2 linked regions of the Nothobranchius furzeri genome follow. The protein of the gene in region 1 purifies or fractionates together with the protein of each later gene. This does not show direct contact. Links are inferred from orthologs where the notes say so. Each region holds a gene or a part of one and is shown in the gene's direction. Other genes may lie near its edges.

Evidence for each region.
Region 2: the proteins of chd8 (region 1) and kpna5 purify together in Homo sapiens (affinity purification with mass spectrometry; 3 studies listed by BioGRID and IntAct, with this or other methods). This does not show direct contact. The link is inferred for Nothobranchius furzeri from reciprocal best matches to the Homo sapiens genes CHD8 and KPNA5.

The regions. Positions count from the first base shown.
Region 1 is NC_091751.1:63,449,339-63,453,156, forward strand, and holds part of chd8 (chromodomain-helicase-DNA-binding protein 8), read left to right. Parts: coding exon 1-107; intron 108-945; coding exon 946-1,156; intron 1,157-1,271; coding exon 1,272-1,467; intron 1,468-1,545; coding exon 1,546-1,716; intron 1,717-1,796; coding exon 1,797-2,087; intron 2,088-2,177; coding exon 2,178-2,398; intron 2,399-2,477; coding exon 2,478-2,680; intron 2,681-2,771; coding exon 2,772-2,928; intron 2,929-3,002; coding exon 3,003-3,092; intron 3,093-3,158; coding exon 3,159-3,262; intron 3,263-3,401; coding exon 3,402-3,525; intron 3,526-3,818. UniProt on the Homo sapiens protein: ATP-dependent chromatin-remodeling factor, it slides nucleosomes along DNA; nucleosome sliding requires ATP. Acts as a transcription repressor by remodeling chromatin structure and recruiting histone H1 to target genes.
Region 2 is NC_091745.1:58,613,514-58,616,844, forward strand, and holds part of kpna5 (importin subunit alpha-6), read left to right. Parts: coding exon 1-51; intron 52-762; coding exon 763-851; intron 852-918; coding exon 919-1,018; intron 1,019-1,103; coding exon 1,104-1,267; intron 1,268-1,869; coding exon 1,870-1,948; intron 1,949-3,331. UniProt on the Homo sapiens protein: Functions in nuclear protein import as an adapter protein for nuclear receptor KPNB1. Binds specifically and directly to substrates containing either a simple or bipartite NLS motif.

The DNA.
Region 1 (3,818 bases):
CTTTAGTTTCCTGAGTTTAGGAGCCAACAGTAACAGTAACGTCCCCAACCTGCTCAACACCATGATGGAGCTCCGCAAGTGCTGCAACCACCCCTACCTCATCAACGGTAAGGCTGAGGGGCGCCACAAACGATTGTTTTCTTATTGCACCAGGATGCAGCTGCTCTAATTCAGCCATCATTAGTTTCTAGTTTCAAGTGTGATCCGTTATGTGCAAGCTTATCAAGCTTATAAAACAACAGGGCTCTCATGTCCGTCACCAACATGTTTAAAATCGCCCGGTCAGAACCTTTGCTTGTCGACGTGTGCATGTTGGCTAGGTAACAAACTCGTCGAGCGCTTTTTTAATGCTGTAAGGTAGCGAGATACAATCAATCGTTGGCGTTTGTAACGTAAGAGCAAATAGGTGACATACGTGTGCTAAAGGTCACGAAATTGCCATCATTACTGTTGTTGCTACAGCTATGAACACAAGTAGCTCCCTGTTGATGTTAGCAGCTAATGAGAAGTAATTAGCTTACAGAGGCGACTGTCCGTCTTTGTTCTCCGCCATGACGAGCTTCCTTTGAAGGTATTCGTGCATGAACATGCTCCCGTGACAAGATTTAAATGTACGTGCTTCTCTTTTGTCTTTGTAAAGTGCTCCAAACTTTTGAGCTACGTTGCCGGCTTGCCAAGTCTTGTTTTTTCCAGTGACGCGACGGCTCAGCCGGGCGGCCACATGTGCCTCGAACAAAAAGGCAGAAAGCAGCAGTGGTGCTGCAGCGGGCAAAATTTATAAAACGCTTCATAGAATAAATGACGTTGACTTCAATTTATTACCGACTGTTTTGTTTGTTGACGTCATCATGACGTAACAACTAATCGTGGCAGCACTAGTACGGCCTAACATCTTTTAAAAAATCAGCTACCCAATTAATTACTGTTTCCTTTTTCCTTGTTCAGGCGCAGAGGAGAAGATCGTGGCGGAGCTGCGGCAGGTGTATGACCCCCTGGCCCCTGACTTTCATTTGCAAGCCCTGATTCGGTCAGCTGGGAAACTGGTGCTTCTCGATAAGCTGCTGCCCCGTCTGAAGGCTGGAGGCCACAAAGTGCTCATCTTCTCCCAGATGGTGCGCTGCTTGGACATCCTCGAGGACTACCTCATCAACAAGAGGTATAAACATCTACACACATCGTATTTTATCTCTTGATGGTGCAAAGTAACTTTGACATTATTGAAAGTTTGGGGAAACTTTGAAGAAACCTTCATGGGTTTTGTATTTCTCCAGGTACCTTTATGAACGAATTGATGGTAGAGTGCGTGGGAACCTGCGACAGGCAGCCATCGATCGCTTCAGCAAGCCAGACTCTGATCGTTTTGTCTTCCTCCTGTGTACTCGTGCTGGTGGTCTGGGCATCAACCTGACTGCTGCTGACACTTGTGTCATATTTGACTCTGACTGGAACCCTCAGAATGATCTGCAGGTATTGTGATGTACTAACGACGGGTTTTAAAGCTTTCTGTTCTGCCTCCACACCTTTTTCCCTTCTTTTTTTTTTCAGGCCCAAGCGAGGTGTCATCGTATTGGACAGTCAAAAGCGGTCAAAGTCTACCGTCTCATCACCCGGAACTCCTACGAGAGGGAGATGCTGGACAAAGCGAGTCTGAAGCTCGGATTGGACCGGGCTGTCCTTCAAAGCATGAGCGGCAACAAAGACAGCAGCGTCAACGGGGTAACGACTCGCTAGGCTGGTTGCTCACGTCACGTCTCATTGGATCTCTTGTCTAAACAATTTAATGTCATGTTTAACAGCTCCAACAGTTTTCCAAGAAGGAGATTGAAGATCTGTTGAGGAAAGGAGCCTATGCCGCCATCATGGATGAGAATGACGAAGGCAGCCGGTTCTGTGAGGAAGATATTGACCAGATCCTTCAGCGACGAGCCACCACCATCACTATTGAGAGTGAAGGAAAGGGCTCTACTTTCTCCAAAGCCAGCTTTGTGGCCTCTGAGAACCGCAATGACATCGCCCTCGATGATCCTGAATTCTGGGAGAAGTGGGCCAAGAAAGCAGATATAGACATGGATTCTATCAATCAGAAGGTGACGCTTTGGTGTTTGATTTTAATGGAGAGATTTATGGCTCACACAGATGGATATCCTCCTAAATCAGTTTGTTCCCTCCCCCTGCAGAACACACTGGTGATCGACACCCCCAGGATTCGCAAGCAGACCCGTCAGTTCTCCACTTTACGTGGCGAAGGTGGAGACCTGTCAGATCTAGAGAGTGATGACGAATATCCACCTGCTAATTCTAGACATTCGCGTGCTTCTCGCCGCTCTGATCGCCACAGCGGAGGAGGATACGGACGCACCGACTGTTTCCGGGTGGAGAAACACCTGCTGGTCTATGGGTGCGAACATGGTGTTTCCCTTTTATTTCGATGTTAAGCGGTCTTGTTGACGTTGCCTTGCGGGTTTGATCTGCTGTAGGTGGGGTCGCTGGAGGGACATCTTGTCTCATGCCAGATGTAAGAGGCGTCTGAGTGAGCGTGACGTGGAAACCATCTGCCGTGTCATCCTGGTCTTTTGTCTGCTGCACTATCGTGGTGATGAGAACATCAAGAGTTTCATCTGGGAGCTCATCACTCCTCCAGAGAATGGCCGAGAGCCTCAAACACTACTAAACCACTCTGGTATGAGGCTGTCATTTTCTCTTTTCAGTAGTTAAATCAGAAGACTAAATGAACTGTTGACATGTTTTTGTGTTTTTTTTTTTTTATTCAGGCCTTTCCATCCCCGTTCCAAGAGGCAGGAAGGGAAAGAGGGTGAAGGCTCAGAGTACGTTTGATGTGCAGAAGGTTGAGTGGATCCGCAAGTACAACCCTGACACTCTGCTGCTTGATGACAGCTACAGAAAACACTTGAAGCACCAGTGCAACAAGTGAGTGAGGCCAGTCAGACGCTGGTTCATGTCAACGACTTTGATTTAAGCTGAGATGTTTCCTCCGTTGTCAGAGTGTTGCTGAGGGTCCGGATGCTCTACTACCTCAAACAGGAGGTTATTGGTGAACATGCAGATGCTGTCTTGAAAGGAGCTGAGATCAGGTATTTGATGCTTCTTGTTTTATTTAAAGGTTCAGATTCGGTTACTGAGACGCCGTTTGTCTTTAGGGACGTGGACATCTGGATGCCAGAGATGGAGCAGCAGGAGGTGCCTGCTGTGTGGTGGGACGCTGATGCAGACCGCTCACTTCTTGCTGGTGTTTTCAAACATGGTAGAGTTACTTATTAAAAAAAATGAAGGCTGACTTTTTTTGGTTCCTGTTGGACTGGACCGTTTCCTGATGCTGGGACTTGATATTTGTTTTAAAGACGTTGGCGTTTAACTGATCTGATTTTGCAATTGGTTACCAGGTTATGAGATGTACACCACCATGCGAGCCGATCCCTGCCTCTGCTTCATAGAAAGAGTCGGTCGGCCTGACGACAAAGCCATTGATGCTGAGCAGCAAACCGGTGACGCGGAGCTCGGGGATGAGTAAGTTACCGCTGCTTTGTTCTGCCTTTCATAAATTCTACTTTTGTGATTAGAAAGTGGTTCTAACTGCTGATATTCAAACGGGACCCCTCACATTTTCATAGCAGCATCATTCTGTAACCTTCATTGTACTTGGTTAGCATCAAGGTAGCGGAGACTGGTTTTGTGGTTCTAATATTATTCAACAGTAATCTTGGGCTTAATTAAATCTTGTGGGATGACTATTAGGGCTGCAGCTATCGAATATTTTTGTAATCGAGTACTCTATCGAACCCTTTATCGATTAATCGAGT
Region 2 (3,331 bases), on another chromosome or scaffold:
CCCATTTTTATTCAGCTGTTGAATTCTGAGTATGAAGACGTCCAGGAGCAGGTGAGTTTTCCCAAGTCTAACAACAAAAACTGACGAGTTTGCACTGTAGGATGTTTCCAATCTTGATGATGTTGCACAACAGAGATGTGCAACGATTTGTGCAAAGATCTTCATGAACATGTTTTGTATCAACTTTAAAACTATTAAAATGTTACAAAGAGTCACAATGTATTCTTTAAACAGTGGTTGATCATCCCTGTTGAGGGAATCCTGTAGAGGATCACAGTGCTGGGAGACAGTTATCAACCACCATCGCAGGGTTTGTCTCGTTAATCTTGCAAACAAATGTCCCAACATCACTAGTCTGTTAAAAAAATGCTGTTCTGGTAAACTCGTTTCTAAAGTCTATAACCAGATGTTCTCCATGTCTTTGATGGTCTCCCTGAGCCGCCTCCAGCTCCTGATGTGGTTCTTTGCTCCGACCATAAGAGAGCCAGAACGTTCAGTGGTGAAATCAAAGATCTCGTTGTGGTTTAGTTGTTGAACTAGTTTGGTGAAGAATAGAACCAAACCAAACTCCTTCACACAAACACTCACACCAACGCTGCAGGAGATGTTCGGATCAGCAGCTTCTTTATTTTAGAGCATTTAGTTTTAATTGTTACTAAACGTGTGTGTGTGTGTGTGTGTGTGTGTGTGTGTGTGTGTGTGTGTGTGTGTGTGTGTGTGTGTGTGTGTGTGTGTGTGTGTGTGTGTGTGTGCACGCGCCAGGCTGTGTGGGCTTTAGGGAACATAGCAGGGGATAATGCTGAGTGCAGAGACTACGTGCTCAGCTGTGGCATCCTCCCGTCTCTACAGCAGTAAGTCTCCTCTCCTCTTCTCGAGTTTCTCTGGTCTTCAGAAATGGGAAGTTTTTTTTTCTTCCAGGCTTCTTGTTAAATCGAACCGACTCACAACCACCCGTAATGCGGTGTGGGCTCTCTCTAACCTGTGCAGAGGGAAGAACCCTCCACCAGATTTTGCCAAGGTGAGCCTGTTCCGGTGACATGACCTTTGTGTTTCTCCATCCAGCTGCAATTCTAAATTGTGTGTTTGTGTTGTTATTGTGTCAGGTGTGTCCTTGTCTCAGCGTTCTGTCCAGACTGCTGTTCAGCAGTGATCCAGATGTGCTGGCTGATGCGTGCTGGGCCCTCTCTTATCTCTCTGATGGGCCCAATGAAAAGATCCAGGCGGTGATTGACTCTGGAGTCTGCCGCAGGCTGGTAGAGCTGCTGATGTGAGACGCTCCTGTTTTATCGTTCGGGTCAAGGTCATTAAGATATGCAATCAGCTGATAGAAACTGTGTGAGGGTCCAGATGAAAGGGGGCATAACAGAGACCACTGGGTGGTTGTGATGTGGGTGTGGCTGCAGCAGGCTAAGGGGTCTGGAGCTTCACTGGGACAGGTGTTACACATAAGACGAGGAGAAAAGGACCCAGAATACAAAAGTATAAACACTTCAGTAAAACCAACATTTCTGCCCTCTGAAGCAGCATCTCTCTGGACGTCTTGTACTGATCCACACACCTGTTGGAGACTTTATCACTATATCTATAAAAACAATGAGTCAGTAAATCTTTCACAGAAATCCATCTTGAGCAGGATTGGGATTGAGCCAGCTGACTGATAGCATTTCTATAACTATAAGTTTCATATGAGCTAATAAATAGATATGTGCTGGCTTTTGTGAGTAACTGGTTCAAGCTGGAACACCAGGATTATTGAAACCTGGGATACAGTGCTGCTGTAGCTGCATGCCAGAACCACAGAGTGGTGCTGATGGGGTTGTTCTACAACAGCCAGCCTGACTGTAGCGTTCATCCCTCTGCTTCCTGTAGGCATGGCGACTACAAAGTGGTTTCTCCGGCTTTACGAGCTGTAGGCAACATCGTAACGGGAGATGACATCCAGACTCAGGTAAAGGCTGCTTCTCACAACGTTCTGTTTGTAAAGAGATTCTCTTCTTATTGGTGTGGGTGTCACAATCTGACGTTAAACCCAGATTAGCTAGGAAATCGCTGTCTCTCTCTGCTGTGAAAACGAAAACCAACGTGTGTTCAGGCACGCGTTAATGTTTGAAATTTTATTAAAAGTTGATGTGGGAGTCATTGTTGAGTTCTAGAACTTTTGTAGGTCATACACAGCACTGATGAAAATGGACTTGGGCAGGCGCTGTGGAGCGACACGCAGCCTTGGTCTGAGCTCCCTCGTGTCAACTCAGGAAAACTATGCTGGGTAACCTACAAATGTCTGATTCAAGCTGAGCTAAGATCAGTAAAGGAAGACATTACATCCAGATCGAGAGACGTGGATTGGCTTAGCTAAAGGAGGACAAATAGAAAATAGGTGCAGAGATGGGAGAGCAGAAGGAGAAGGTGGACACGGCTCTAATGTGAGTAGAGGAGCTCTGATGCTGACTGTGTGCTGCAGGATTTACTGAAGGAACCTAAGGATTTGTTGAAGCTGGGTGACCTGGAGGCCAGATCCAGGTGTAAAGGAAGGAAGACGCTGAATCACAGGACAACAAGGTGGCAAAGTTGATGGAGGAGTGGCTCTGTGAGGAGTTTAAGATAAACTAGGATCTGCTGATTCAGCACTCTAGCACTGAAGACAGGTCAGCTGCTTTGTTGAATCAGTCATTAACTTCCAACAATACACCATAAAAAAAGCTTGGGAGAAGAAAACGGTGATGTTTGGAACCGACAGAATTTACATTTCGATCTAAGTTCCTACCCTCACCTATAGTCGCGAGCTTTGGGCAGTGAGATGTAGATGAGATTGTGGATACAAGCGGCCGGAATTATTTTTTTCTGCAGGGTGGTTGGCTCTCCCTCAGAGATGGGGTGAGAAACTCAGTTATCCGGAGTAGACCCACTGGTCCTCCACATCGAGAGGAGCCAGTTGAGGTGGCTCGGGCATGTGGTTAGGATGCCTCCTGGACCCTGGTGAGGTTTTCTGGGCACGTCCCGAGAGAAGACCTAAAGGAAGACCCAGGACATGCTCTCGGCTGGCCAAGGAACGCCTAGGGAGAGGAAGTCTGGCCTCTCTCCTTAGACTGCTTCCCCGGCGACTCAACCCCAGATAAGCAGATGAAAATGGATAAATGGCAAAGACACTAAAGGAGCAAAATGCTTATACACATGTCCAGAAAATACTGAAGAAGAGAAGATTCTGTTTCAAACTCCCCTTCACGGGCTGATGGTGCACTGGGAAACAGAACTAGGACCCACAGCACCATGCAGGAGGCAGTCAGTGGCTTGAGGAAGCAGGCATAAAAGGTATAGGACATCCAGGGAGACG